2 linked regions of the Neurospora crassa OR74A genome follow. The protein of the gene in region 2 purifies or fractionates together with the protein of the main gene of each other region. This does not show direct contact. Links are inferred from orthologs where the notes say so. Each region holds a gene or a part of one and is shown on either strand. Other genes may lie near its edges. The genes, in order: NCU03401 and NCU02963.

Region 1 (15,461 bases), on a different chromosome or scaffold from region 2:
CAACATGGGATCCATCACACTACCAACCTACCCTAGAGGTAAGGTAGGTACTCGGTATCATCACTGAACCTAAGGTTCTTTCCTTTCCTTTCAGGTAGAGGTAGGTAGTAATCCAATCACAGGTCCAGTCTTACCTTATCCAGAGTCGCACGATTGATTCGGAACCTGCCCGGGCTTGAGGAACCTTGAACCCCTCCTCCGCACCTTCGCTACTTACCTACTTACACACTACCTCACCTTCCTCGTCAAGAGGAATAGCTCGAACCACGCCTCCCAGGAAATTGGACCAATGTTGCATCTACGCCCGTCACCTTTGACCTGTCGCTCTGTGTGACTGCTTCAGATTGCTCTTCTTGTCAGCTTCGTCTCTCTTCCACCCCTCGTCTTGCTGTTGGAGCTGCTCCCTTTCGCATCTTCACCCTGATCTGCTTCTCGTGGGTCTTGATGGCCCTGTGTTGTCCAGCCCATTACAGCGAAAACTACAACACTCCCTTTTTGGAAACACTGCAACATTAGCAAGCCTCAAAACACCAGCAGGGCCACTCACCCATGCGAAAGAAAAGCCAATGATCCATTGCTCCATCTCGACATAGCAGCCTGGACCATGACGGGCTTCTGCTGTTGTGGGGTACCTCGCCCTCCCAGAACAGTGACGCCGTCGACACCGAGCCCCAGGAATCAAACCCCGAAACCCTCGGGTGCACTTCCGCCACTTCCTCCTCCTGCTCGCTTACCTGTTGCAGGACCACTTACATCCAACCCAGTCATCGCCATTCCGCTGGCCGTTGACGCTTATCCAGACTCTTCCAGCAAGTCTGGTACATCGCTGCAGCTGGCAACATCTTCTGTGATCGTTCCGATTGGGCCAGCCGACTTGAGCGATCTCGTGGTTGAAGACTCGGAGGACGACTTACCAGGCAGATCGACCGAGCCAAGCAAGAGTACCAGCACTCTCCAGCTTGTCAGAGAGAATATTCGTCGTCACTTGTCCCAAGACTCCTTGCCAAAGAAAAAGTCTCGCTCAGCTGTTGGCTCCAGCCAAGAGGAAATCCAAAGACGGGCCGAGCTCAAGAGACTGATGCACAAAAGGATACAAGAGGAACTCCGCATTGAGCAATCCCACGAGCGGTCTCGGAGTGAGGTTTCCTCTGTGCTGCCACCACCCAGATCCTCTTCGCCTGACTACCTTCCGGGTGGAGGGCCCCGTGATGCATTAGAGTTCTCGGTAGCCCAAGAAGAGGAAGGAGAGGCACATTCCGATACGACTTCCTCGTCCATTGCAAAGTCCAGTGCCGATGTCTCTGCACCAGGAAAGGCGGCTCCCCTTTCAGACAAGGAAAACAGCTGCCCCCGAGTAAACAGTCTCAAATATCCAACAATTGCGGTTATCCAGAAGCCAGTTCGAGAACGCAGTTCACTCCCAGAGATGCCAGCCTCTCCGGTCTTGGCTCCGCAGCGCTATTCCAATACTATTGACACTTCCTCCTTGGGCTCTTGGAGGCTTTCTTACAGCGCTACTCAACTCGAAGACTTTCTGGGCTTCATCGATCAAGATGGTTCCTCCCAAGATGCCGAGTCTTCCCTCAAAGCAGCAGCTTCGAGGGCGGTTACCTCACGTTCAGTACCGCTACTACGCCGGTCCAAGTCAGAGACTCGTCCACGCTCTTCCTCGGCCCGCACTCCTGGGAATGCAACTCCATGCGTGTTGGATCAGTCACCAATGGGTATTTGGCTCAGAAGCCAGGGTCTTGGATCATGTTCGCCGTCACTTTCCTTGGGTAGGTCTTCGGATAGAGACGGTGATCCCGAAATAAGCGTGGAACAGGCTAAAGTGGTCATGCTCAAGAGATGCAGCTCGATTCCCAACCACCCTGGCGGTGACATTAGTCTTCAACGTCCTGAGATTGTCCATCTTCATGACATGGATATCCATCGGCAGCTTGCTACACAGACTCTGAACACTCCTGAGGAATCTCCTGCAAATACCGAGTCGGAACAGAACACAGTCCGTAGGTATGTTGTGAGACATGGTAGCTCGGATCAGACAGCTGCATACGGGACCGAGACATCACACAGACAGCCTAACGGTCAGGCTGGCCTCATCAGCAACCCATCATCGGCATATCCCTCAGCTGGACATAGCGCCGATCCTAGCGCAGGAACTTCTTCATCGCATCTACCGTCAGGTGTCATGGGTCCCCATAACTTGCTTTCAGCGACACCACTGCGATGTGAGTAGTCCACCATGAACGACTTCTGTTCGGATGCTAATAGATTACAGGGCTTCTTCCGTCCAACCCTTTTGGTGAAAGCCATTCGAACATGGCCACGGGAGGGAGCTCGCTCGATAGTCCTACTGATGGAGGCACCGCCACTCAGACCGAGCTAATCTCATCGGGCGTGGCATCAGATACCATCAACAAACGTCAATCGGTACCAAAGCTAAATATAATGGAGAGGAGCTTTGCTCGATTTCATCTAGGGCATGGGGCACCGTCCAATATCTCCAAAAGGTTCGATAAACCGACCGATTCCATGAAACTACGCGCCGAACCGTCGAAGCGCTCACTGCTGGCGAGATTACATTTGAGCTTACCTCGACGTGTCAAACTGACCCCGGCTTCCTTTGACGGTCAGGTAGACGGCGAGCAGAATACTCCATTGCCCTCTACATCACGCCCGGTTGATTCGCAAAGACACAAGAAATCTGCACTCAGTGATGTTGGTCCGCAAACGCTCCATCAAAGCAGCGAGTTTCCATTCTCCGACTGTGATGATAGTACAGTAGAGCTTTGGCAATCTGCTGTGAGAGAGGAAATCTGGAGACGCCATACAGGTACTAAAAAGAGACATAGCGACTACCGACCATTTGACGTTCCACCCAAAACTTATTACCCCTATCCGTACCCAGGAGCGCGCCCTGGTGGCCAAGATCAAAGCAGCAGTCCCGTGTCCATTTCCACTGAACTTTCTGCCAAGACACTTGAAAGCAATCCAGAGCCGAGCGATAATGTTTTGAACGTCGCAGGTGTGCGCAGATCGTCACTCGAGAGCCCAGGACCCGAGATACAGAGGCCTCGAAAGTTTCCAGAGGCATGGGCAAGGTTTCCTTCGTACAACCGTGCAGAACGAAATGAGGACCACGAAAATACGGACCAAGCTCGGACCGAGCGAATAGCTTCCCATAAACCGCCGAACCAAGAGATTACACAGACCGCGATCTCTGGGGCTATTTCCAACCGCCAACATAACGGGGTCATGGGTCACAGACAGAAGAACTCAATGTCAAGCAAATTCGGAAAGGCTCTCAAATCCGGCCTCGACAAGCTTGTTCATTCCCGAAGATCATCAGACGTTTCGTGCGGGGATTCGCATCTTGACCAAGCAAGAGCCACACTGGAATACCCAGAGCTTGCACTCCATCCCACCGAGGCTGGTTATCGAGAACTCGAAGCATTAGGCCGAGAAATCAGGCGCCTGAAGCGGTTGGTGTCGAATGAGGTGGAAGACGGACCCAGACCTTGGGTAACTCTCCCTGTTGGTTCCGATGTTGAACTTGATGGGTCCAATGCCGGCAGTCATCGGAATTTGACTATGCCAGGCACTTTCCCCAGAAGTCGTGGAGGGGATTCATCAGCTACCACTGACAAGTTTGCGACGCCACTCAGCTCTCCCTCTCTCAACGATGCTTCTTTTCACTCCTTTCCGCGGTCATACTCGCCAGAGTCCAGTCGTCAGTCGTCTATCCCCATTTCGAACAAAGCGGTTGTGCCAGAAATCAAAATTACCGACCTGAGTTCGGTCAAGAGTGATACAACATTGGTGCTGAGAACACATCAGGTCAGATTTTCGGATGAAAATGGCCAGTGTCAGAGTGATTCGGCCACTTCTGGCTCCTCAAAGTACAATACCTGGAGTGGTCCGAACGATTCGCAGACTATCGATGATGCAAACGAGTCAGACGATAGTGATCAAGTGTTTCCCACAAACAACAAGCGTGGATCTCATCTGGAGAACTCGCTTTCAATCCAGGAGATAGCCGCCGGCAACGTGTAGAAAAGGGGGAAGAAGTGAACCATCACTGGTTTTCAATGAGCAATCATATTTTTATTTTTGTTGTTTCGTGCCTTCTTAGCTTCATCCCTTGATGGATTTTCAAGTGTTAGGTATTGTGCGGAGTAGAGAATCAACGTGCATTTCCAGTGTTTGGTGGTTCTGCAAAAGTTGAAAGGCCTGATAACCACGCCAAAAGAGTGTGATTATAACCAGGCGGAACTGGGCATCATTGTCTTTGCGTTACTGGCCATCACGTGTGGTGTGGGAAACAAGTAATGACAAGCTTTCTCTGATGTAACGACTTACAGCAGCTGTGTTAGTAAAACCAGAGGTAGTATTTAAGCGATTATCATCAGCCGAAAGGCCATCCTCTACATCAAGGATTTCTTTCATTCCATATTGAACACCAGTGACATTTGTCCATCAAGTGTAAATAACCAAGCATTTTTCTCGCCATGATGCTCGTTTGTTTCTTCTTTACCTACACTTAAATCACTCAAGTTGTCGTAGTATCTTCCTTCGCGGAAGTAGGACGAATACCTCTAGGTAGGTGGCCCGCGTTTGAACACTACTAACCGGTGCTAAACACTTTTATTTTCCTATTTTTCTATTCAATTTATTTCCTTGGTTAGTATATATCTTTCTTCGTTATCGTACCATAACATCTGCGAATCCAATCATTCATTCATCTTTCTTCCTTTCGTTTCCTTCCCGACTTCCAATAACAAGCCCGTCTCCATTCAACTTCCCCCCTCCATCATCATCGCTATCATCATCGTCATGAGGTGTACCAGTGATCCGAGGCGGTGGAGGACTAACCGCCACGGTAGCTGACGAGCCACCACTTCTTGAACCTGAACCAGGCGGAGGAGGGTCATGGTCGTGACTGAATGAGGACTCGCCCACCTCATCAGCTCCTTCGTAGTCCGGGCACTCAAAGACATGATTCACCACATCGCCAGTCCCCCTCCTACCATCACCCGCCTGAATGCATCTTCGTTCACTGTGGCTTGAGTAGTTGCTGCCACTTGAAGAACTCTTCCTCCCCTCCATCTCCATCTCCATCTCCTTCCCTTTGTCCATCTCCATCATTCCCTTTTCCACATCCTTCTTCATCCCTTGCTGCTCCTCCTCCGCAATGTCCACCATAGCTCCTCCTCCTCCCAGCACCCTCCCCGCCTCCCCCCTCGTCTCCGTCCTCGCCATACCTTCTCCATAAGCCGAGAATCGCAAGCCAGCAGCAGCAGCAACAGCAGCAGACGACGACGCCGGCGGTGGCACACCACTCATCCTAATCGTCATCATGATTCCCGTCCTCCTTCTCTTCTGCTCCTCAATCTTCCTCTCCATCTCCTCCCTCCGTTCCCTCAACAACAAACAAAACTTGGAACTCCTTCTAATCTTCTCCCCCTGCCACAGGAAAATAAACGGCATCATCGTCATCAACAGACTCAATCCACCCAACAACGAACATGCGCCCGCAATGCCCAAGCGATGGAACATGGGCGCCGTCGCCAGCGGTAAGAGCGTCGCTAACAACGACCGCGAGCACGAAGCCGCCGCATTCGCTGACGCGGCAAAGATCTCGTACGCGTCTGTCAAGTAGTTCAGCAGCGCCTGAAACACGCACATGAAGCCCATGCCGAAGGGGATCCCGCTTAGCATGGGGATCCAGAAGGGGACTGAAAAACGGGAAGTGAAGCCCAGCCAGAAGAGACTGACGACGAACATGGGGCCGCCGAGGCAAGCGAGTGGCAAGCGACGGTATTCTTCCTGGCGAGTCCAGGGGGCGTTGCGGTGCCGGGCGCGGGTGAGTATGGAGTCCCATGCCATGAAGATCGGGAGGGCAATCAAGCAGCCGACGCCGATGGCGAGGTACGTGAGCCCGCATTGGCCGGGGGTGAGGCCGTACAGGTCGATGAAGATGAAGGGGTAGGCTTCAAAGGTCATGTAGAAGATGGCGTAGCAGAGGGAGATGTAAGCGCAGCTGGTGGAGACGATGGGTTCCATGAGGATCATGCGGATGGGCCGGGTGAGGACGATGGTGGTGAGTTCGGACAGGGAGTGTTGGGTGTCTTCGAGTTCGCGGGGGGCGACGACGTGGGCGTTGGGGTTGGTGAGTCGTAGGTGCTGGGCGCGACGGAGGAGGAGGATGGGGCCGTAGGTTTCGGGCAACAAAAAGAAGAGAGGGAGGAGGGTCAGGCCGGCGTACATGAGGCCGATCCAGAAGGCCCAGCGCCAGCCGATGGTGGTGGCCGCGTAGCCGGAGATGATGGGGGCGATGAGAGGGCCGAAGACTGTAGTCTGTGAGGGGAGGGGGGTGGTCAGTGGTTGTGTGGATGGGAAAGGGGCAAGGGAAAACTGACAGCCATAAAAATCCCCATGCTTCTCCCACGCTGCCTCGGTTCATTGTAAATATCCGCAATAATCCCCGGCACCAGCGCAATAGGCGCACTTGCAAAGATGCCCGAAAACAGTCTGAAGATGATAAAGGAAATCCAATGAGGAGCCAATGCACACGCCAACGTAAACAAAGTAAACATGGCAAACGTCCCGATACTCAATCTCCTGCGCCCATACTGCTCGCTTAGCGGCGCCCACAAGATCGGACCCATCACATAGCCTAAATCCGTCAGTCTTTGCGAGAAATAACTAAAATACTGCAAGGCCTCACCGATCAGGTAGATGGAAATGGGCAGGACCGTCTCCTGCTCCGACTCGATCTTCCACTCCTCCACAATAAAGGGGATGGCGTTGCTGGGCAGGGCGCTGCCCATGGACGAGTTGAGGATCAACATGACGGCCGTCAGCAAGATGGCGGCTTTCCTGCCGGAGGACCAGTTGTACGGGTTTTCTGGGTCGTTTTCTTCCCAGGAGATGATGGTGTCCTCACCGTCATCGATGAAGCCGAAACTGGTTATGCTGCTGGCTCGGGGCAGGAGTTGGGATGGGATCCCCCGTGGCTCAACAGTGGTTGGCTTTTCGTGGAACGAGGATGAAGAACTGGCATGTCCACTGATGGGGATGGTTGCCGGGTCTGAAAAGCTGACTCTGGGAGCTGTTGGATCGGTTAGCAGAAGCGGCCATGTAACTTGGAGAAGCATATGTGCGCTCACCACTAGTACTGTCCCGTGTTGACAGAGAAGGTAAAGACTCTCCGACGAGTGTATTGAACTCGCCGAAGCGAAAGGGTTGTTCAAGATTCACTGACTCATACGAGTATGAAGACTCGCTCCCACGGTGCCTCTCGTCGTCTCCCGAGTTGTGAGTTACGAGATAGAACTTCCTCGGCTCCGGAGACTTCTTGTTACGGAGGGACTCCTTGTCTTTGCTGGGCTGTAGTGTGCCATCCGTATTTTTGGGTCGTTGCACAAAATCAGAGTCAGCTCGATCTCCATATCTTGATATGCCCTGTTCTGCCTCGGTGGGTTGGGATTGCCGATGATCATCATCACCGGGGCTCTCTTCGAGATTGTGTGACATGGTGCGAAAGTATGGAGGTCATCAGACCACTCAATGGAGCGGAGAGGTCGATGGTTCTTTGAAGGTCAGGTCGTTTACACAATAATCAAGACGAACACAAGAAGAGTCATTTCCAAAACTTGACAGCGGGCGAGCGATGGAGAAAAAGAGGTGATATAGAGTTGCCATCTTGTTCAGATACCATTACAGCAGAGTCACGAAACGAGAATCGAAGCATGTGTCTCGCCCATGATAATCGTCATGAAGAAAGAATATGTCATGCATGCTTGAACAGATATAGTGTATGCATGACGGGAAGGGGATTTGATCACGGAAGTGATGATATCCGAGGATGAGCAGGGTAACAGTTAGTAAACTAACAAGCCACAAGTCAATCACATCATTAATCCATCCGGCCAAGTGATATTTCGTTGAGCAAAGCACCCTCATCTCGAAACGATGAAAGTCCCCCAATCAAGCTTCAGCGACTAATTTGTTGGAAGACAGGTGTCCCAGCTGGATGGGCAAGGATAGAGGGATTGCTGACGTTGCCAACATGGTGGTAGCCTGCGGCGCAAGAGGAGTTGAGCTGGGCATGTGAAAAGGATAAGGTCTTCAGGGACAACAAAGGGGATGGTCTCGACGTGGACATGACGTTCGTGCTGTACAATCCCTGATTTATCCCAACGGCCGAGGGATTGTCGACAGACGGGGAAGGGTGACGGAGTCAACTCGGTCAGCACATGGAGCTCGATGGGGCCTGCGGAGATGAAGCATAGCCGTGGGTGTGGCTGTTTCCAACTGGTTGGATCCGGGGTATCGTCACTTGCACGTCGAGGGCCAATATCTATATATATGTCTGTTCGCCACGGTCTGCAGCCTCAGGCCTTTTTCCCAGATCGACTTCAGGAAACTCTGTCATGGACATCAAGAAAAAAAACTCATTCGAAAGTCGGCAGCATTTTGGCTCGAGCTGTACTGATCAACGGGAACAGTGGTCAGCATTCCATGGGCCGGCCCTGCCAGTGAACGCAGGTTAGAGACTGGCGATTCTGAGGTCGTGTCCTGGACTAAGGCAAGCCGTCCGCGGCGACAATTTCGTTCGATAGAGTGAGTAAGGTGATTAGGACGAGGATCGGGTGATTGGCACATCTTAAATCGCTGAAGCGACGGCAAGGCGTCAAGTCCGTTCCTGCTTGAAGCACATCTCAGCGCATGGGACATGCGATTCTCGCATCTCCAATTATCCAAATAGTAGCAAATGCATATTCCGGCATTGATGGTCAAGATAAGAAGTCTACGAGGCCCCAGGTTGACATCAGTTATATTACCTGCTTCAGTCAGTACGGTAAGGGCGCCGGGACCGAGTTGCTGTATTGACTTGGAGAAAGGCTTACAATGTGTTTTTGGTTCCCACTGACAGCCAGCCGTTGACAGTGGAATATGGTGATAGGGCCGAGGCCCGGCAGCGAGCGGCTTGCAGTACAGGCGCTGCGAGCTGCAGATATGCTTCATTGGGCATTTGACCTGCCGGCGAGTCTGGCCTCTCTACCTGAGGGACTTTGAGTGACATAACATGCACGTTATATCCAGTAATTTGCCCAAGAGTCTGATCATGTTGTTGACGTGGTTTAAGTTGGTAGCGACTGCTCAGCCCTGGTCGATGGAACTGTTGCCAGTGTTGTACACGGAAGCATTATTCACACTCATCGAAAGGGATGTAAGCCGGCGAAATGGGTTGCGGGCATGGCTTCATGTCTCGAGGTTGATTGTCTTTCCAAATCTTGCGTACAATTCCACCTTGAGCCCCGTCATCTCCTTGCGGATGGTTTCAAGCTTGTCATCGAGGGCTTCGATCTCCTTGATGAGTTTTGCAGCCGCGATGCCGAGCATCTCCTTGGCTTGTTCGAGGGGAATGTGGAAGAAGGAATCGCCAATCTTGTACCTGTTGTCGGGTCTCAGTATGTGTCTGGCTACGTGTCGTGCTGACGGTTGCAACTTACTGGACAAGCTCGTCCTCGTCCTCGACAAGCTCCAGTTCGGTTTCCAAGTCGTCGAGTTCCTCCTTCTCCTTGTTTTTGTTCTTGAGCTCCTCTTCGAGGGCGAGTTCGCGCTGGTGCAATCGGCTGAACCTGTTGATCTTGTCCTGGTCCTCGCGACGGACCTCGATCTCGTCGCCGGCCGCCTCCTCGTCCTCTTTACTCAACTGTTTTGAGGGGTGGTTAGCGACGAGCGCGAGAGAGCAGATGTTATGGACCAAGGACTTACCATGCGACGGTTCATTTTGCCGGTGGAGTTGGTTGGTGATGTTTGATAGCGGTACAGTACATAGATAGAGTCGTTGGGTGGTGACGACTGACGACCTAGGGAGCGACCGAAGCGACGTCGAAGCTCCCGTCTGACCCCACCTGGAATCCATCAGGGGCACAGCGACGGGAGCTGTTCATCGACGCCAGGGGGGGGGGGGGGGGGTACTACCCAGGTACATACAGTCAGTACCCTAGTACGAGCAACACCAAAAATCCGGCCACAAGTATTGCTCAAACAGGGGGGATTGCTGGTGCTGGGGTAGGGTGCACGGGCCATACTACCAAAACCTGCACTTCTAGGAAAGCCTTGGCGCCCAGACCTCCCCATCCCCTAATGTAAAAAGTGTGTAAATAGCGGGTATAAAGTAGTATCAAGGCTATAATTGGGTGAGAAGTACCCTTACTTTAGAGCAAATTACTAAATAGACTATTACTGTATACTCGTTTGCTCTTACACATATAAAAAAGAGAGTTTTGGCCCATACTGTTGCAAATACAGGGGGGGTTGCTCATATACAAGGTTGCTCTTACAAGGGTTTTCACTGTACTTCATGGTGGGGTTGGGGCTCTGCTACCCGATTGGTCACAACGTCTGTGTTAGTGCTAAGTCCTCTGCGCAACGCCAAAACATCAAAACAACACATCTATCTGCCCTGATAGTGACCATCAACATCAACCTCGGGCACGGTTGGCCTATTCACAGCAGCAAAGGACATGGTATCGGGGATATCCTAGGTCTTGTCACGATATTCAATCAACTGCAAGAAGAAGTCTGGGCGGAAATATGCCCGGCCAAAAAGCATACCCGCGGGCAACGGTCAAGAAGATTGTCAAGGCCCACGCTAACTGCAATGTTAGCAAAAATGTCGATGTCATGGTAAGCGAAGATAACAATAAAAATGCCACTATTCCCAAAATCCAACGCGTCGCACTAACATCGTGTTTGTCGCAGATCTATCTCGATTATGTTTTGTTCATGCAAACGTAGGAACCACTTCCTCACACCTTCTGAAACGGTATCACGCTAACACACACTCTGACAGCCTCATGAAGGAGGCTACCATCGAAGCCAAGCAAGGGGGTGAACGGGGCATCACAGGTCGGAGTGTCAAGAAAGTCACTGCGGTCAGTTTTCTTCTTCCCCACAACCACGCCCCCCCCTTTTTTTTTGACCCCCTTTTGTTGACATTTTGCTGCAATAGGACACTCTTGCCAAGTTCAAGGGTTGAGGAATTCCAACACTGCGCCTAGACAACACACGGGCTGGTTACCCCCACCGTCAAAGGGATCCCGTTGGAGGTGAAGCAAACGGGAGCATGGTTTCGACGACCTATCAGTTTTCAATAGGGTACAAGTGCATACATGGACTTGTACACGTCCTCATTCGTGGATGTAGGTAGTGACAACAGTTGGCTCATACATGACAAGTTGAATCGAGTGCGGGGGAAGACATCTCGACATCCATCGTACATAATGGTAAAATCAAAATTCATGGTCATGTCCAAGAATTCTGCCGTACTATACTGCATGGACCGCCGTTGCCTGTGATGGAGCTGTGATTCTTGGTCTTTCTTCAGGCTTCTGTGCCTGTCCCTCCCGCGTCTGTGGGCTCCAGTCGACGGGAAGCCGCCGAGCTGCGGCCAACCCCAGACGGAACCCGATGGTAGCCTCAGCTGCCTGTAGGTACCTCTAGAGGTAGGTAGGTAGCTTCAGGAGGCCCGTTGTGACTCCTCCGCCCAGCCGTCGGACGCCCGCCAAAACCTTCCAATGGAAGGTATCAGCAACTGCCCGGCTCTGACTTCGTTGTAGGTGGTGCCCGCCTGGGCGGGAATCGCTGTCTCCACTCCTTCTCCTGGCTGCCCGCCCGCCCGCGGACGGAGAGAGCTCCAAAAAGGTCGAACGTCAGCAGCTGAGCTGTCCCGCCGCCCGCCGCCTTCCCGTCCCGCCCACCCACCCACCCACTCCCACCCTTCCTTCCGCCAAACAACAAAACAAACCCTCCACCACACCTTCTTTCGCAAACAACTCAACAAGCTCTTCTACCGCTATTCTCCTTTTTCTGCCTCACTCTCCATAATCAACACTGCTGCTAGCCACCCCTCTTCGCATCAGCAGTCAAGCAACGCAACTGAACCCCGCAAAGGAGCATCATAGGTAGCCCGACATATCGTTGGAGCCTTGTCCCCAAGCAACTGAATTACCCACCGCGCAACCACCACAAGCTTGACAAACCACCCCATCCACCACAACACTACACATGATGACTGCCGCCGCCGTCCAGAACCCTCCGGTCGCGACCGAGTCCAAGTCGGCCAAGAAGAAAAAGGCCAAGCAGGGCACCGAGTCCCCCGCCCTCGCTACCTCTTCGACCCCAGACAAGCCCGCTTCTCTCGCTGCTGGCAACGAGCCGTCTCAGGAGGGCGACTCGTCCAACCCCCATATTCGTGAGATCCAAAAGTCCGTTCTTTACCCAAGTCTAGCCGCCATCGTCGTCATTCCATCCCATCACCTTCTACTAGCTGCTGACACTTGTCTCTTCTCTCTTGTATAGGGCTATCCGCAATGTGTCCAAGAAGATTGTAGGTTTCTATACTCGCACTGACATGCCACGCCATTGCGCTAGAGACTGACTTTATGTTCCTCAATCTAGACCAATGCTTCCAAGATCGACCACCTGGTAGCTGAGCACGGCAACAAGTCTCTTGATGAGCTGGTGTCTCTCAAGATCATCAATGCCGACCAAAAGGCCGCATACCTCAAGAAGCCCGCCCTGCAGGCCCAGCTTTTCCAGCTTGACGAGCAGATTGCTCTCCTCAGGAAGCTTGATGCTGAGCACAAGATCCGCCTGGCCGAGCAGGAGAAGGCCCTCGCCGACAAGTTTGCCCAGGAAAAGGCCGACCTTGTTGCCGAGCTCGAGAAGAAGGCCGAGGCCGATGCCGACAAGAAGCTCCACGATAGCTTGCTCCACCTCTCTCAGTTCCTCCGCCTCGCAGCTGCCCGTCGCGCTGAGGATGCCGACAGCACTGCCGACGAGAATATGGCTCTCGAAGGTGTCCTGCTCCACATCTACTCGGGCGACGAGAATGCTGTCAAGAACATGCTGAAGCTCGTCCAGGGTGCCGAGGAGCAGACTCGCAGCACTACTGGTGAGCTGCTCAAGACTACCTGTAAGCACCCCTCCACTAGCACATGTAGCCCGCCTTCCATATATACTAACCTCACTCCGTCTTTGCAGTTGCCCAGGTTAAGCAGGTCGCTATTGCCTATGCGGCTCCCTTCTCCCAGCCCGCCGCTGAGGAGCCCGTTGCCCAGACCACCGAGACCGAGACCGAGGCCCCCGCCGAAACCAAGCCCGCTGAGACCGAGGCTGTCGAGTCCAAGCAGGAACCCCAGACCGATCTTACTGTTGCCAACGCTGGCCTTACCGAAATCGACGATGGTTCCGCTGTTGCTTTGACCAACGGAAACACCCAAGAGCAGCCTGCTACTGGCGGTGCCCCCGCCCAGACCGATGCCGGCGACAGCACTGCCAACCCTGCTGCCGAGAGCGGCTGGGATGCTTCTGGCTCGGCTGCTGCCTCTACCGACATGACGGGCTCTCAGGAGTGGGTCGAGGTCCAGCGCGATCCCGCTGAGACCGAGAAGGGCCTTGAGGCTACCCCTGCCGCGCCTTCCAACACCCAGTCGTGGGCTGACGATCATCCCGAGACTGCCGGTGCCCCTACTGGTGCTGATGACGGCTTCCAGTCCGTCCAGGGCAAGCGTGGTCCTCAGCAGCAAGGCTACCGCGGCCGTGGTGGCTACCGTGGACGTGGCGATGGACGTGGCCGTGGCCGTGGCCGTGGCGGTCCTCGTGGTGGTCGTGGAGGCCCTCGTCCTCCTCGCGCCGGTGGTGACGAGCAGCACTAGGAGTCTGGACGTCCCGAGCCTGTCGCGATGGAGTCTGGCTGGCCTGTTGAAACTGATTGGTCTGCCAAATCCGGTTGGCCTGCGGAATCTGGCTGGCCTGCTGAATCTGGCTGGCCTGTTTGAGCTTAACTGTCTTTTTTTTTTTTTTTTTCCTCGGTTTGATCTCGTCTGGCATCTATTTGTGTGAGCGTATGCATTTTTGCTCTGGGATCTTGGGCGTTCTCATGATCAAAAAAGTTCATATTGCGCTATAGCATGGATTTGCTTCATTGGTCTGTATTGTACATTAAAAATTGGGCAAGCGCAAAGGGGTTACGGAGAAACGGATGACTAAATGGTGGTTAACCTTGTTTTATTTGTTACCCCCGGAATACCTTGCATGATAACGACAGAAAGAATTAAAGGAAGGGAGGAAGGGAGAGGCCGCGCCGCCGAAATGGCGCAAGACAGGTGTGGATGTACCATAATGAAGCTGAAGGATGAATTGACGATGGATCTGATGAGGAGTCTGTTTCGAGCGACGTTGCTGGTGTTTGTGTGTTCGATTATGCTTTATGATGGGTATCATTATACTAAATTGGGGTTGGCGCGACATGCCAGGATATCGAGTCAAGTGCTGACGGTATCCGAGTGGCTGTCTTTGAAATATCCTCCACCAAACTGACCGGGTCGCACGTAACCGCGTCTCACCACTTGCACACGCGACCAGCATCCAGCACGAGGATGATACGCTTTCACGTGATAGGGGCCTCGATATGACTTGCATCCCTCCATTCTTTTTCGGGACAGGATCATCGTCGTCAAGCGACCATCCCCCTCCCCCACAGCCAACGCCGATGATAAAAAGTGATATGTACTTTGAGTCTGCATCGATTAAAGTTTTCTTTCCTTTTGCGCAACTGCGTCCTTATCGAAGGATTCCGGAGAAGATGACCGACGAGGACGATAAGATCAGACGGAGATGGAAAAAGTGATGGAATGTGCTTCATGCTTGATTGTTTATCAAGAGCGTTAAGCATTTCTACGTTTCTGATCGTCCCCCGCTCTTTGGGGATATTTCAGTCGTCACCCGTTGGCCGGCCGGGCGCTTGCATTTTTATGCTTTTCACATCAATCACACCATGGCGTTTGTTTATTTCTGTTCTTTTTGGTTTACTTTTACTTGAGCTGGCTATCCAAAAAAACAACACAGAAAACAAAATCCAGGAGGTCAGGACACCCTCTTCTCGAGACGCAGCCTCCCTCTTCCAATGCACGTTAGAAAGCACTGTATGCCTCTCGAAGTTTGTTGGATGGAGCCATCTGACTGGTGTGGTAACCGCTTGGCATCTTTCTTCTCCTTCCCCGCGCCCACATACACACACACATACCACACGCATGATCAGTGTTTGAGGAATGGCTGGGGATTTGTTGAATGGGAACCATCAACCAATGGAAAAGCTACTTGATGTTTTCCAGGAGAGATGCACAGGACTGGCTACTAACAAATGATAAAATAGGTAGGCGAGTTACGGGAAGCAACGAAGAGTCCCCGCCTCCGGTATGTATTGGTCCATCTTTCCATTTTACATTGGCGGCGACTACATAAGTGAACGATTGTAGAATGGGATGTTGTGCTGAAAGGTGCAGGTGGAAAGATTGCGGAAAGGAAGAAAGGAAGGAGTGCTTTGCCCCGCCAATGTGGTTCCGAACGGCAACCAAGTGAAACATCAACACAACAAGCTC
Region 2 (16,319 bases):
CACGTCCATCTTTGCCCAAGAGACAGCCCAGCTATATTCTTCTTTGATCTTTTCTTCGAACTCAGCATGGTACTGTATTGATTGAGCTTCTTTTTGGTCTCGGACTACCGGCTACAACTCGCTATACTTCTTCACGGTTCCGATTTTGCGATTTTAGGACAAGATGCAAACAACATCAAGAGAACGGAACACGGGCAGCCATCGTTGTAACGGAGAATAACGCCGATAACTGCTCGAGAAACCCGATAGAGCGATGTTTAGGAACAGAGTGTTGGTATGCAGTCGGAAGCAACAAAACTGAGTGATTCTAAGTTTCTGCCTGTTCTCATCTCATCTGCGAAAAGTATTTTCCAAGCCAAGGCAAGAGATTAGTTCTCAGTTTTCCGTTCGATGGCAACCTATGCAAGAGATTTTTGAACCTTGAGCCGTCAAGAAATGAACATTAGTTCTCTTGGATCCTCAGCTCTGTGTCTACTTTGGTTTTTCGACTGTCATATCTTTTCGTCCTATATCGATCAGCAGCGATGCTCTTTAGTTTCCGCTATCACTTTCAACCCATCTGATCTTCATCCGGAACGTCACCAACAATACAGTTTATGTGAGAGCTAGGTCAGGCAGGCGGACTGTTGTGGAAAAAAAACGTTTGAAAATCATCACTCGTTTTTGGAGACCCCCATACTGCGGTTCGTTATAGTCATATTCTACTTCACATATCATCGAAGGAACAGTAAGCGTAGTGAAGCGGCGGGATCTGCTAGATTCGTGGCTTGCTTGTGGCACTCATGTGTGCATGAGACTGAAGTCCCATTCAGATTCTTCTCAAAACACTGTTATCATATTGGTTGTCCAAGTTTAGACATGAAAGCATTGGTCGAGTTTCTTTTCTTGAGTAGGTGTATCTCGACACTTCATGATCTAGATGGTCAATACGAAAGGCTTGAAGACCTCATTGAGCTTGTTTCAGCAGAGACATCCATAGCAATCATCCACTTCTGTCTCAATATTCTTACTGCAGTGCAAAGAGACAACACCGGGCGGAGGACACTGGACTGTTACGGTTCTCAAGACAAGACACTTCATGACACTTGTTTCACAGCTCACAAGTTGTTTGGTTTGTCTTCCGCTCGGGACAAAAAGGCGGACACTCTGCTTTTATATAGAGTATTTCCATCTCAACTTATCTGTAGCAGTAGTCGATCTTGTCAGCAAAGAAATATTTAATATGAATAAATGCGTAGCTCCTTGAACCAAATCTGGTTTCCGAATATGCATTCGTTAGTATCATCTACAGGTACAGCAAGATCACATCACTCCAATGGTACCTGAATCTACCGGGGAGCAACCCTTTGCAGTCTCACAAAGGACGAAGAACTTATCGCCAACTATCGACAACCTCGTTGTTCCTGCCACTTAGTTCGAATGCCCTTACAGGTACGTGCTTTCCTTCAAAAGCCCACCCCAAGTGACGCATTGATGCCACTGCCGTCCTTGTTTGATGGCTCTTCCCCTTTCCAACGACAATGACGTGTTCAGCTCGGCTTGATCTCCGGCCTGGTGAATGGTCTTGCTCTTTTCCTCCCAGTCATCAGCTCATGCGTTGGTCCAGACTTGTTAAGTTTGTTACCGCGATCGAACTATTTACCACTTGCTGTCCAAATTCCTTCGAGACTGGCTGAGGTTCAGTTGGGCAAGGACAAAGATCACTCGGGCATTTCCGAACAGTGTCTTGGGTTTGCTGCACCTTGCCCATCCAACCAGGAATATTACTACCACAATAAACAAGTCGCAAGAAGACAACCGAAGTGTTCAACTTATCCGGTTGTGAGTAGTCCATGGGCAAGAGCAACCCATGTTCATATAGTTAGGTCTTCAATCTCGTGCCTACTCCCTCTTCGGGTGAGCAACGTCATTTGGCTCCTTCCCTGATTGCCAAGGCACTCACCCCGAAGCCCAAAGCAACCAGCCGGCAACTTGCAATTACCCCCAGCGGCCTACTCGGTTTGAGCATGCGCGTTCGTGTCGAGTATCGTTTGCTTGGGTCGGACACGAGATCAAATTCGCGACCTGCGTTCTTATAAGACCATCTCACCCTCCTCCTCCTCTCCATCTTCTTCTTCTTCTGTTCATCCTCATCAATCTTCAGTGTCTCCTCCACCATCACCACCACCACCACCACCACTACCATTACCACCTGGTCTTCGACATCAACATCGCCGTCGTCGTCGTCGCCGTCTTCCTTACCTCTACATCTTCCTCTTTCTTCCTTCTTTCATCTTTCCCCGTCTTCATAACGTTTCGATCTCAACTTGCAATCACTCCGCGTTTGTCAAGTCACCATGTCATTCGCCACCGGAGCTCGACTGCCCAATTCTCGTTCGGGCGCCTCATCCTCGTCGCAGCGCAGCGGCCAGGCGTCTGAGGTATTGAACATTCAGGCGAGTACCTTTCAGCTTTCCCCTTTCTCTCAAGCAGCGCAGTTCTACGTCTATGTCTATTGAGGAAGAGTGCTTTCACCCCCATTTCACGTATACTGATATTTTCTTCTACAGGTGGACTTGGTGGTCCCAACTCGTGGCTTTCGCATTGTAGACGACCAGGACCGAGAGCTCAAGACAATCTTGGAACAGATCGAACAACAGCACCGTGTCAGGATCTGCCTCAAAGCACAGGAGGATCCCATCCAGATCTCCGCTGCTTCTCCCAAGAACGCCCAGGCGGCCATACGCAGCATCTTGAGGAGCTTGATGCTCCGTGAAGGGCATGCGACAGTCTGGCGAGATTCAGTACTTGTGGCTCCGCCCAGCAGCGACAAGCGTGTCATACGGATACTTCTCCAGGACAGCCCTGAAACCACATGGTTTCGACCAGCCGCGACACTCACCGACTCTACTGAGGTGGCCGATGCTTTGGCTGTCCAAGCTTACAAGAGCGATCTTGCTGCTGCGATGGTCCGCGTGGGTGATGGCTTGCGGTATTGTCCCAATAGGATGCGCATGCAGATCGCTTTCGGCAAACTGTTCTTCAAAGAACGCAAGCGGGGTACTACGAGCTATACGCTCGATGAGTTCTCGAAGTTGGCTCGCAGGGTGAGCAGCAGAGGGACTTCTTACATGGAGATGAGGTAAGTGTATACTCTGGTCTTCCCTTCTGGTTCTCCTTTTTCTGGTCGCTTTCCCAGGCGATTAATGTCTAACACTGCTCAGACTGGGTGGTGAATCAATGCGCGAAAAGATTCAACATGCCTTCTCCCTCGATCCAGACTTTGAAGGCCCCCAAGGCATAGAAAACTTTGTGATTGTGACGACGAAAAATGTCAACCTGGAAGTGAGCGTCGATAAAAATCAAATCTGTGGTTTTACTTTCGGCTCATTGAACGTCTTCCATCGAGAGAAGAGCCACCGTAGTGTCGAACTTGCCACAGCATGCCCTGACAAGTAAGTCGGCATCTTTCTCACTTCCTTGCCAAACTAACACATCCCAGAAATCACGACTGGGTCTTGAAAGTCGAGTCTCCCATCGATGAGACCGGCAATAAGCTCCCACTCGATCAACATACACTGAGCAAGGGCATCAGGATTCGTCACAATGAGAACACCCGTTGTATTGAGCCTCACATTGCGGCGTCCTTCGCACAGAAACACCATATTGAGGCTCTCATTGGCAAGACGACCTGGTCCTATTACCTCAACAAGGACTACATCGTTGAGCTTTCCCTGTACCGGCAGTGGAGCACTATCTCGGGCACCAAGAGCCGACAGCCTCAAGAGCCCGTCGCTGGTGTGAGCGTCAGCATGTATCGACCGGAGTGGGACGACCACATGGCCAATGCTGACGTTTCAGCCGGACCGCGGTCCTGGGAAGCGTTTCCAGAACAGTTCTTCAAGTCATCCATGTCATCCGCTGACCCCACTAGGGATCTTGACCCGCTTGATGCCTTATTGCACTGGGTTGGAAAGGTCCAAACGGTGCTGGAAAGAACTGTATAGACAGACGCGGGCTATCAGCAGTTGTAGATGGAAAGTTGTCGTGGTGAGGTATTAAGAGCTGAAGTAGTGATGTTTGGCTGCTGAGCTCAAGGTCGCGGAACGGTTCTTCGAATACATGGGTGTGTCGTCATAATAATCGTCAATGGCTCAACGCGTATTCAAGGAGATCGAGGACATACACCAAGTAGCTGTGCCCAAGTTGTATTTTTGTCGTTTTTTGTTTGTTTTTTTTTGCTTCGCTTAATCACACAATAACAAGTCAGATTCTCCACTATGCCTGTGCCGATGCAGGTCCAGCTCCTTGTGCCAGCACCTTCTGCCTCAAGACTAGATGTTGATTCTTGTTAGTAACAATGCCATGGCTGAAATGCACGGACAGCTCAAGAAAAAGAGGAGAATGCCGTACCTTCTTCCACCACGCGGAGGTTGTTAGTCTTTCCCTGGACAATGGCTTCCAAGTTCTGAATGTTGGCGCCAAGTTCCTTGACCTTGGCATCGTAGAAATCAGTGGCACTTTTGGTGTCCTGAACGCTTCGAGTTAATAACATGTAGTGCCGTTCGTGGCGGAGAGACGTACCTTTTCGACGTAGAACCCAGTACCAACATCGACGATCACGCGGTCGGGGTTGGAGAGCTTGCCCTTGACGTAGAGGGAGTTGGTGAGGGGCACGAGGATGTCTTTGTTGTCTGTTGAATGGGGTCTTGTTGTCAGCGGTGACCATGACTGGAGGGTAGGCGTTCGGCTGGGCTTGGGTCGGGATGAAGGGAATGGAATTGTAGGATGGGCGTGGTGGAACAGCAGGTGGGAAGAAAGGGTGTTGATCGGATATGAGGATGGGAGATATGAGGCGTGGGGAGGTGGAGGATGGCGACATCACCGCCATGAGATGAGTAGATAAAAGTAAAATGAGGTGTAGACGTTTGTTATGGTTGTAAGTGGGATGAAGAGGACTGGAGAAAAAAAGGGATAGCTCATCGGGTCACATCAGAGAATGAGACAAAAGCTCACGAAGAGGTTGACCGTCAAGTGGAAGCTTGACAAAATCCATCCCCATCCCCCAAACTCCCGGCCCTTCGAATATACTCATAGACGATCCACCCCATCTCATCTACCACATCAAGATGAAAGAAAAATGAAGGAAACAGGTCAACTAAACATACCATCAAAAGAACTGCTTCCTGTCTGCACGATTCGCAAGCACTCTTTGAACTTGGCCTGCGCCGCAGCTAGCTGCGTGTACGAGGCCGTCAGGTGCTCGACCTCCTCGTCTAGCTGCTGCTTGACGGCGGTAAGTTGTTGAGCGCTGAGGCTCTCAATGTTGACTGGGAAGGTCTGTTAGTGACTGCCACACATTGAAACATCAAACGGGGAATGGGGGCGGCATCATGGTGTGGACTAAAGGGGGTGAGATGAGTGCGGGAGGTGACCAGGGGGGGGGATGGGGAAGGTAAGGTGAAGCTTGAGCTCGAAGCTTGATTGAGCTTTAGAGGAGGAGCGAACATGAAGCTCCCTTGAATGAGTGGGAGCTTGCAAGGTTCAAAGGAGCGGGCAGCGGTGAAAGGGGAGATACTTACCTCCTTCTTGCTTGCCAGACATCTTTACGCTTTCTTATTCGTTTGTAATCGAGAGAGGAATGGGCTAGATGTAAGAGTGTCTAATTCACAAAACCGAATGTGATGTTTGAACGAGGTTCAGTTCCAGTTGATCGGGCGGCCACGAGGGCCGGCAGCAACGATAGAGGTAGTGCGTGGAGGTGGTTGCCCCGCTATGAGAGCAGCTCTGTGGGGCAGAATTTTGCGGGCTTCCAGGGGTCGCTTCGTCGCTTTCCCCTGTTCGCTGCAGGCGGGGTACATGCCCGAGATCCTAGGTATGTAGTACCGAGTAAACAGTGACTTGACTTTCTCCTGACAACCATCTTCTCACTTTTCCTCGACAACATAGATAGGTCCATTGAGGAGCCAATCCTCGAACTGACCATCTTGTTCCAAGAGAAATACACGGCGAAGCGGCTTACTGGGTTGAGTATAACGGAAAACTGTACTGGAAACAGCATTTTATCCTTCTCGCTCTCTTCAAACTTTCTCGTCGGTTGCCACTATCAACGGGTGGCACCTCAACTTTTCGCGTTACACATAAGAACGGTCACCCCAGCAACCTCTAACAAACAAACACCCGAATTTCTTCTTCACCTCATCAACAAACCCCAACCCAAACTCGCAGAGAAGCACCACCATCATGGCGCCCTCACTGCCATCTCCCATCCCCAAAACCCGCATCGGCGGCATCCCCGGCGTCGACCGGGGCCGCAGCCTCTTCTCCACGGAGCGCTTCGGCGCCGGCGAAACCATCGCCATCATCGAAAACCCCTTGCTCGCTCTCCCAGACGACGCCAACATGCGGACGACCTGCAACTACTGCCTCTATGTCAGCGGGACGATCGAGTTCGAGGGCGATGTGGAAGCGGGGGCCCGGACGTGCAAGGCGTGCACGGGCTGCAAGGCGGCCGTGTACTGCAACGCCGAGTGCCAGCGGGCGCACTGGAAGCTGGTGCATAAGGCCGAATGCAAGATGTTCAAGCGAATCCAGGAGCGGACGGGCAAGGACTGGTTGCCGACTCCCGTGAGGGCGGTGGCGCAGGTGATGCTGTTGTTGAAGGCTGGGGATGAGGAGACTGTCAAGGCGTTTGGGCCTGGTGGTACGTTGGAGAGTAATGTGGAGGGGTTCAAGACTGATGAGGGCTTGTGGGGTGATTTCGAATTACAGGCTACGGGGGCGGTGGTTTATGCGGGTTTGTTGCAGAGTGATGAGACGTTGAAGCAGGCTATGGAGGTTTTGTGCAAGGTGAGTTTGATGTGGAAGTCTGGGTATCGACGTGTGATGTGAACTGACTAGTGCGGCGACCTTAGATCCAAACGAATGCGTTCAACAGGTTTGATGCCGACACGGGACAGGCGGGCATCTATCTTCACCCTAGTCTTTCTATGGTTAATCACTCTTGTGTTCCGAACGCCTACATCGCTTTCGAGAAGCGCAAGGCCTTTCTCAAGGCGGAGAGGGATCTTGAACCGGGCGACGAGATTCTGATTTCATATATCGGTATGGTAATTCCTTTCGCAAGCGAGGGTTTTCTCGTCTTCTAACTTGCCAGCCAGATCACACTATGCCTCGCCGTGCAAGGCAAGAGAGTCTTCGACTCTATCACTTCCAGTGCAATTGTATTCGTTGCAAAGAGGATTTGAATGCCTACGAAGTTATTCAGGCTTGCGGGGTTTCCCCGGGTGTCAAGTGGCTCAACTCCTCCAGTTTCCAGCCGGATGTCGCCAGCCTGGTTCCTGCTTATATCGAAAGGTCAAAGACAGTACCAAAGTCAAAGATCGAGGAAATACACTGGAAGTGTATGGAGTTGACTTGCATTGTTCAGGGGGATCCTATGGAGAATGCGCGAGCCCAGTGGGAACTTTGCAAACCTCTCAGGGATGCCCAGCTGTGGGCTCTCGATCCCCTTCCTCCCACGATTCTCAGGATAGCTACCATGCTGGGTTCTAACCGTACTACGCTAGCCAAGGCGCTTCCTCTACACTGCTTCATGGCGTTGGAATGCTATCCCTTCAAGTACCCGGCATCATTCACGCCTTTCAGGGTCAAAACACTGATGACAATTGCAAAGCTCCTGTCCGCGGCGGGAGATTTGACCTATAGCGGCGATCTTGCTCGGTACTGCGACCACGAGGGTGTTATTGGGGTTCTGGCAACCGCTGACATAGTTTCTTTGACCGAGGTCATCCTTCGGCTGGTCAGGCAAAACGGCGTTATAGGGGGTGTGGCATCGTGGGACGTCTTATTCGGAACCAAGGAAATGTTGCGCGACATCGGAGATCTGCAGGAGCGCGACGAGAAGGACGCCGCTATGGTCAAGCATTGGGCAAACAATTTGCAAGATCCTGTGAGCAAAGCTTTCTGGGAGAACGTTGTGCTCAAGCCGATCACACAGCTTGCGAGTTTCGCAATTGAGATCATCGAGGCTGAACTGGGAGGCAACAAGAGTCTGGCTCGGAAGTAAGCCCGAAAAGAATCAAAGATATTTCAGTCCTTTCTCCGCACCTAGACTCCCTTTCCTTACTTGGCCGACAGGCTAGTCTGAGGTGTCTAGCTGCATCCCGACTGTACGCCTCCTTGTGCAGCGGCGTCGGGCGAGGCAAGGCGAAGTGTCGATAGCTGGCGTACTTGGCAACTCTCCTGCAATGTCTGTCTCAGGAAGCTCGGCCTCCGACGAGGTCCGTTTGTGACAGTTGGGAGATGTCAGATTCTTGGCAGTTTGCTGGTCACCCTCGAGCCGTTGCACCCTGCTCTTGAGAATATCGAAGTCTATCTGAAGACTTTCGATAGAGCGCATGTTGCTCAACAGGCGTCTCAAGTCTGCATTTTTGGCACGAAGTGTTGCAACTTCATTCCCATCATTGGTGGTAGAAACGCTCTTGTTGGCTTCTGATGCTATGACATCAACTTGAACTAGGAGGTCAGAGACCTGGGACCTAAGCCCCGCCAGTTCTTGTTGCAATTGGCTTCTGACTTTGGTCATTTCGTTGCTCGCTTGTCTGGGAAGCTCGTTCTTCGATAAGGCATTGTTGAAATTCCCGCCCGGGGAGAAGTGCCACTTTCCCCTAGTGTCTCGGCTGAGCTAACTGTGCTGACACTACTAGATGGCTCTGTGTTGTCGAGGACGCGATCGATGTAGATGCTACTTTTCTTGCCTGCGTCGTCGAATGGCACAATTGAGCCTTGGTAGAATAGGACATGATATCTACAAGGTTATGTTAGGCATTGTCTTCGATGTCCCACGCCAATGATCATGTTTGACTTGCCTCTCTAGCACATGATTCCCGGGTGTTTCGACGCATTTCAGCCCAAGAAACGCGGAACAACTGACACAGGCTATGATTTGCAGTCGACTACAGCACATTCGAATAAGTAACAACATCAGACATGGAGTGTATGATTGATACAGACTTACCAGTTTTCCATCAAGGTACCCGGCTCTCCGTAAACTGCGCTTCTCTTGTGGCATACGTCCAGACTGTTCTTTGATTCGATGATAGGAACCACATACATGCCGATTTCATACCACAGGTTGATGAACTTGCCTATAGTGCCCCGGCACTGTTTGCAACGGCAGAGCACCAGCTCCGCCATGCTGAACTATGGATATCGAGGGCAAGGTTAAGCGGCCTGCTGCGAAAGAACTCAGGTGTTCAGGAATGAGAAAGGAAAGATATGGTGATGCCCCGCGTATCGGGAGATCAGAACCGTGGAGCGTGGGCGTCGGAATCAGATCACGCACATTGTTGCTTGAGCTGAAATCGAATTGGAGATGTGCTGGGGATGACTCGGGCAACTCAACTGTGTACACTGAAGGAAATTTTCACATCATGGGAAACGTGGACGCTCATTTTGGTTCTCAACAATGGACAACAAAGGAAGGAGCTATCGTATAAGTCGTTTGATACTGTACTATGTAGAGATGGTCTTGGCAATACAGGGGACCGAAAGCTGTAGGCGCCACCTTCTTGGACGATAAGATGTGGCTTGACTACCTACCACTAGGTATGCCCGATAATGACAGTGAAATCCGCCACACTGGATGCCACAGTGGGGCTCTGCCTGCCTGCAAACACTGCGCCGTGAGTCGCTCCACCCAACCTTGGCGTGCCTGGGGTTTGACAGGCACGAACAAGGGTGTCTTTCTTTTTGGTTTGGTCCGACTTCAGTGACTTCGTGCCAACTTCAGACGTCCACTTCCATCAATGTTCAGTTGTTTTCCCCAGTTTAAAACCTGAACACTTTCGTTTCACTTTCACTCCCTAATTCCTTCTCTTTTGCAATTTCTTCTGAGCCTGCACTTCCGTGCAATTTTCAGGTCACACTCCCCTCAGAGGAAGCGCAGTCATCATGAGCAGAAAAAAGAACAAGAGTAAAGGTCAGCGCGGCGTTGCGGCTGCCTTGGCCACCTTTCAGGGCGACTCTATGGCCATTGATTCCGAAGTCACCAGCCTTCAGAATTCGACTGCTCCGACGGACGGTGAATTGACGTCAACCACAATTTCGGCTGGTCTTAAACGGCCATGTCCCGAAGATGACCATGAAGACGGCGGCGGCTGGCAGACAATCGAAAATGGCCGGCCGGTAAAGAAACTCAAGAAGATTCCTGGCCAGGAATCCAAGCGCTATCCCGGCATTCACTTTTCGACCCAGGCCAGGCTTTTTTCCAAGATCAACGTCTCTTCTTTACGCGACCTGATCCTGTACATCTTTGCCGATGGCCCTGCGCCGCAATGGGTGTCTGTCAAGCATCGCCCCGAGTTCAGAAAGATCGTGGCCATCATGGTACCGGGTCTTGACGAGGCCATGTTCAAGAACGGTCTTGACTTCTCCGCCTACACCGGTCCCACTCTTGATCAAGCGATCTCCGGTGGCGGCGCCCCTGATCCTGATGAGTACTATCCACGCGAGCTCAAGAAGGAGCTGTTGCCCGAAGTCCTGCAGCCCTTCGCCGACATGTTCCCGCATTTGTGGCCTGTAAAAGCTCCAGGTGACGACAAGTATGGCAAGTTGCACTCGCCAATGCCTGCAATGCTTACCGCGCCCCTGCCCAAGAGCAAGGGAACGGGAATCCAGCCCGTATCTGAGCCCCACGGCTGGAAAAATCAGCGAACACGCATTACCGAGTTTTTGGCCACCAACGAGGAGCTGATGGAGCATGGCTTCCCCGTTCATCCAGCTATGCTGAACCCAGGGGAGAAAAAAGACAAGTTCAAGGACCCCGAAGGCTGGGTACACACGAGGGTCGAGAATCTTGAGGATGGAAAGGTCCCCGAAGGCGAAGTGCAACAGGGCAGTGTCACCGCAGGCCGGGAAGTCTATGCCCTCGATTGCGAGATGTGTATGACGGGGGAAGCCGAGTATTCACTTACCAGAATCAGCTTGGTCTCTTGGGACGGCAGTGTTGTTCTTGACGAGCTTGTCAAGCCGGACAAGCCTATCATTGACTATGTGACCCGGTTTTCAGGTATCACCAAAGAGATGATCGATCCTATCAACACGACATTGAAAGATATCCAGGCACGCTTGCTCGACATTCTTGGTCCTCGCTCGATTCTCCTCGGACACTCGCTTGACTCTGATCTTAAGGCCCTCAAGCTCGCTCACCCCTTCATTGTCGACACCTCGCTTCTCTTCCCGCACCCTCGCGGACTTCCCCTCAAACAATCGTTGAAGTACCTCGCACAAAAGTTCCTCAACCGCGAAGTTCAAAAGGGTGGTGGAACCAACGCCGGACACGACAGTATCGAAGACGCCAAAACGTGTCTCGACCTTGTCAAGAGGAAGTGCGAGAAGGGCAAGGCATGGGGTGCCGGAGAGAGCCAGGGCGAGAACCTCTTCAAGCGCCTCGCTCGCGCTGGTACGGCATATCGCTCGACCGCTGGGCCGGAGGCCACGGGCGGTGCTCCTGTCGGCAAGAGCAGCGCAGCTGTTGACTGGGGTGACGTAAGCAGAAGCGCCGGTAACGCCGCCACCGTCACAATTTCCTGCAAATCCGACGCCGAGGTTGAAGCCGGCATCCTCCGCGCGGTCAAGGGTGATCCCGACGGCCTCGAAGTTCCCGGCGGCGGTGTCGACTTTGTGTGGGCACGCATGCGTGAGCTCGAGGCCCTCCGAGGATGGTGGAACCGCAACAAGCTCGTCCCCGAGGACGCTGGCGGCCCGCCGGCTCTCACTGATGGTGATAAAAAGGAGGAAGAGGAAGAGCAGGAGGATGCCGCATCACCCCTTGAGACCTGCCTGAAGACACTCGGCGAGCGGTTGAAGCGCATCTACGACAATCTCCCGCCCTGCACGGCTTTCATCGTCTACACCGGCACTGGTGACCCGCGCGAGATGAGCCGGCTGCAGGCCATGCAGGCCCAGTTCAAGAAGGAGTACAACACGCCTGGCTCTAAGTGGGACCAGCTTAGTGTGCAATGGACGGACAGGGAGGATCAGGCTCTGCGTCGGGCTCTGAAGGTGGCGAGAAGCGGCATTGGCTTCATTGGAGTTAAATAGGCTCTGAGCTCTATGCCCCCGAGTGGACGCTGGAGAAAGAAGAATTAATATCTGTGGGAGGTGGTTTCAGGGTAGCTGTTGGCGTGAACATGGTTATGGATGGCAGCGAAGAGGTTCTTAGATGACATCAAGACAGTATAGACCTTATGGCTTTGCTTGGTGCGTCAACGATGGTTTATAGAATATCGTCAAGATACATACTTCGATGCCGCGGGCTCTACGAACATTTACTTCTCTTTACGAAGTTTACCATAAATTTAGAGAAGGCGACGTCTTGAGTCTTCAGCATCTATTGCCAATATCACCGTTTTGTTAAGGTTCAGTGATACACGCTGTTGACCAAGAGCCTCAGCTTTGCACACCTTCATTGGATCTACTCTTCTATTTCTGGTTGACGGTAGATACTAGCAAGATGGTGATCCCAAACTTGTGGATATCAAAACGAGCAAGGTATGGCAAGGACACGCAATGCAGATTCTTTCAGAAGCCTATGTATCGTATCTATCTATGTATGTGTCTGTGAACACAATCCGCTTTTCTCCGCTCACCATCGTGAAGCAAGAAAGAAACACACGACACCCAGCAAATGCAAAACCAGACTCACCACTAGCCGAAAAGCACCAAGCCCCATCTTCGACTTTTCACTCCCCAACACAAGCTGTTAACAACCCCGACAAGCCAGCTACATTCGCTTTGTACAGTACTTAATATTTGTATATTCACCAAAACTCCCTATAATCATCCGAACATAGTGTACTCGCCTCACTCGACAAGTAACCCTCGTCCAAGTCCTCATCACACCACTGCTGCTCCTCCTTCAAGGCCTTCTCCATTTCGACATCAACATCGTAGTAAACATCCTCCATAGCGTCATACCCAACCATCCACTCCTGAGCCTCTTCTTTCAACTCCAACTCTGACTCACTCTAGAAATCAAACTCACCACGGAAGATCTCGGGATCCACGCCCGTAGTAACCTTCTCCGCCAGATCCCTCCGTCCCATCTGCGTGAACACGCGACGGAGAGTGTCGTAAAGGGTCGTGCTCCTGTTCTGCGTCATCATGTTATCGATACGCGAGTCGCTATCACCCGCATTGCCGCCCAGCAGCTCGCGCGCCTTCTCGCGTCCGCTCTTCTCTACAGACTTGTGCATGTCCAGCGCCGCGAGCAAGTGACCCGCGGCCTCAGCATGGCAGCCAATGTTGATGCACGAGACGCCAAGGTTGTAGCGGGCGCGGACAAAGTTGGGGTGAATGGCGAGGGCCTTTTCGTAGGCGGCGATGGCCTCCTCGGAGCGGCCGCTGTTGGCGAGAGTGGCGCCCAGCCGGTTCCAGAGCAGGTGGATCTGTTCGCGCTGGTTGGAGGTGCCGAGCTCGGTCGAGTGCAGCGCCGACTGGAAGCAGTCGACGGCCTTGTCGTAGTCCTCGGCGCCGTAGAACAGGACGCCTAGGCCGACCTGCACGTCGGGGTCCATGTGATCGCCATCGGGAGCGAGGCGGGCCGCCTCGAGGAAGAGGTTGGTGACGCGCTCGTGCAGCTGGGCGCGGTCGGTGAAGCCCATGTCAGCGGCCGAGGAAAGGTTACTGGGTGAGATGACGCTGGGGTACTTGGTCGACAGCCAGCGCTCGAGCGTGCGGTAGGCGGTGCTGTCGTAGCCCTCGTTGGTGTAGGAGACGGCTAGGCCCATCATAGCAGAGAGGTTGTTGGGGTCGAGCTTCATGGCACGCTCGAGAGCACGGATGGCAGCTTCTTCCTTCTCGTTCTGGGCTTGCGTCTGTCCGAGGTAGACCCACGCCTCGGTGTGGTCGGGGTTCTTCTGGACCGCAGCCTCGAAGGCCAGAGCAGCTAGCGACAGGTTCCCGCCCTCCTTCATGATACGAATACCCTCTTCGAATGGGTTTGGTGTCTCCCTGAAGAGGTTATCTTCCTCGAAGAGGTACTCTTGCACGATAGGGTCCGCGCCGAGCCTGCCGTTCAGCGTCCAATCTTCCTTTTCCAGGTTCTCACTGTCGAACTTGGCAAAGTCGTCCTGGACATCAATCTCGTCCAACTCCTTCATGGCGTCTCTTTCGGCCTGGATACCGCGCCAGATGGATTCGAGATCGCCAGCACCAGTCTCGGAGTGAAGTAGCGCCTCGTCCATCTTGTTGAGCTCGGGCTCCATGGCGCGGGCCTCGTCACCATTGATCTCCAGCTGAGCAAAATGCTCTTCCCACTTGTTCTGGTCGAGCTCAACAACTTTGCCCTTACCCTTGCCCTCGGGCTGTAGTTGTTGCTGGGGAATGTTGTGCATCTGAGGGCCGTGCATGCCGACCATGGGCTGGTACATGGGTCGCTGCATCATGTTGTAGTTCATGTTGCCCATGCCCATCATGCCACCACCCATCATGGGGCGCTGAGCAGGCATCTGGCTGGCGGTGGCCGGCGCCGCGGCGGGGTGCATTTGCTGGAACTTTGAAAACTCATCGGCGCTGAACTGAGTGCCAGGCGGCGCATTGAAGGCGGCTTCCATAGCCGCCTGTGTGTTGTGGAAGTCCTGAGCCCATGCTGGCGAGGCGTTCGGGGCGCGCATGTGGGCGCCTTGGCTCGGGTCGAGGTGAAGCATATGTCCTTGTTCGAGAGGCATATGAGCCATCTCCGGCGTTTGGTTTAGGAATCCGTTCACCATCTGTTCGAGAGGATCGTCATGTCAGCCAAGAGCGCATGCCTTGCCGTCAACAATATCCATGAAGATTCCTTACCTCATCTTGGCCAGGCCCGCGGTTAATACTCCGGAAGCCACCAACCGCAGCATTGGGACCTCTGTTGGCAAGTCTGTCATGTTGGAGGCTCTTGTCGTCTCCAACATGCTTGGTAAACTGACTGAGCGGGTTGCCCGCCGTCGAACACTCGGCTCCACCCATGAAAGACATTTTGAAGATGTTGGATATTAATGCGACAATGGCGATGTTTCGGCGAAAGTTGACAACGAAGCCCAAGACAGAAGACAAGATGGGCGGCTCTTGTACACTATCTGGTAGACGAAGTAGAGCGCTATGCGGTCGACTGTTGGGAAAGCAGCGGCCCGCGCAAGTTGTAGAGGCAGGCTGGAAGTAGCGGTAGCTAGGTAGATTTTTGCGCAGGGCAAAGGAAGGATGACTTTAGTTTGGAAGAGGGAAAGAAAAAAAGAAGTGGAAGTAACAAACAAGCCAGGCACGGGCGTGGTGAGCTCGTGGAGTTGATTAATTAGTGATCAAGCGGCGGTGTCCAGAACTGAAGTTGTCCAGGTGAAAGAAAGAAGTTGACCGACTCTCGCGGGATGTGTGGCAGGTGTGCTGTCTTGTAAGTAACGACGGGAGCCCACGGATGCACGGGCGGGTTGTCTGGGTCCGGCATGTGTGGATGGCAGCAGCGTGGTTAGAAATCGGGCTCTGCATGCATCTGAAGTGAGTTGGAACCTTGGGCGCCAAAAGCTCAGGTCACTCAGGGGCACAAGGGGGGCACCGCCGTGCGCCACCTGAACAGCTGGAAATGCCGAGGCAGCCAGGGCACCTCAGCCAGCCATCATATCCACCTCACCGCGCTCTTGTTAGGTCTTTTTGGGCTGTGGCAGTTGCCGGCCACACCTCAGGCACTTGTTGCCTGGCCGCGGCTATTACTGGTAACCCCGCCAATGGAGTGTTGTCAACCACACCTCACATGGAGCCGAACCCCAGCCCGGCCCGTGGAGTACACCCCCGCCCCCGCCCCCGGATCCATCATCGATCCCTTCGTTCCTTCAAACGACAGCCGAGAACAATCGGACGACAGCGGAGTGCGGAAATCATACTCGCATGCCGACAGCACGGCAATGTACGCAAGTTGAAAGGGAAAATGAACAATCAAACGATGCGTTTCGAGCAGATCGTCACGTCACGCATACGGGATGCAGGACGCAAAGAAGGTACAGAAGACCACCCCTCTATTCGTACATATGTACAGCGATATAACCAACAAAAAATGGTAAACGAAAACAACTAGTCGCAGTAAGAAGAAAGAAGAGAAGATTTTTCGTAGTTGTACAGGTATCATTGCAAGCAAAAGGTCAGGATGATGTACGCAGAGTGATCGTACTGCAAAGGCGCCACAACACCAATCCCACAGTTTCCCAATCCCAATGTGCCCCAATTTTGGCAACATTTGTCAAGAAACACAACCGGCCTCTTTTCTTTTTTGAAAACCGAACTTGCCCAGTTTTGCCCTCCATTACATCCGT

What was found.
Region 1: the proteins of NCU02963 (region 2) and NCU03401 purify together in Saccharomyces cerevisiae (affinity purification with mass spectrometry; 3 studies listed by BioGRID, with this or other methods). This does not show direct contact. The link is inferred for Neurospora crassa OR74A from reciprocal best matches to the Saccharomyces cerevisiae genes GIM5 and GIM3.

The regions. Positions count from the first base shown.
Region 1 is NC_026502.1:836,540-852,000, forward strand, and holds NCU03401 (hypothetical protein), read right to left. Parts: upstream 9,839-15,461; 5' UTR 9,802-9,838; coding exon 9,787-9,801; intron 9,725-9,786; coding exon 9,522-9,724; intron 9,464-9,521; coding exon 9,271-9,463; 3' UTR 8,916-9,270; downstream 1-8,915. Other genes in the region: NCU03403 (hypothetical protein), read left to right, coding at 605-2,013, 2,077-2,231, 2,282-2,425, 2,912-4,056; NCU03402 (membrane transporter), read right to left, coding at 4,738-6,360, 6,423-7,114, 7,173-7,539; NCU03400 (hypothetical protein), read left to right, coding at 10,612-10,704, 10,780-10,811, 10,871-10,952, 11,030-11,056; NCU03399 (hypothetical protein), read left to right, coding at 12,085-12,284, 12,379-12,406, 12,478-12,994, 13,063-13,736. UniProt on the Saccharomyces cerevisiae protein: Binds specifically to cytosolic chaperonin (c-CPN) and transfers target proteins to it. Binds to nascent polypeptide chain and promotes folding in an environment in which there are many competing pathways for nonnative proteins.
Region 2 is NC_026501.1:8,558,581-8,574,899, forward strand, and holds NCU02963 (c-myc binding protein), read right to left. Parts: upstream 5,736-16,319; 5' UTR 5,584-5,735; coding exon 5,562-5,583; intron 5,310-5,561; coding exon 5,148-5,309; intron 4,674-5,147; coding exon 4,564-4,673; intron 4,511-4,563; coding exon 4,393-4,510; intron 4,314-4,392; coding exon 4,258-4,313; 3' UTR 3,987-4,257; coding exon of another isoform or gene 3,575-3,986; 3' UTR 3,435-3,574; downstream 1-3,434. Other genes in the region: NCU02964 (hypothetical protein), read left to right, coding at 2,337-2,420, 2,550-3,121, 3,204-3,434, 3,575-3,986; NCU02962 (hypothetical protein), read left to right, coding at 6,223-6,828, 6,894-7,083, 7,140-8,047; NCU02961 (exonuclease), read left to right, coding at 9,934-12,084; pex5 (peroxisomal targeting signal receptor), read right to left, coding at 13,011-14,753, 14,827-14,997.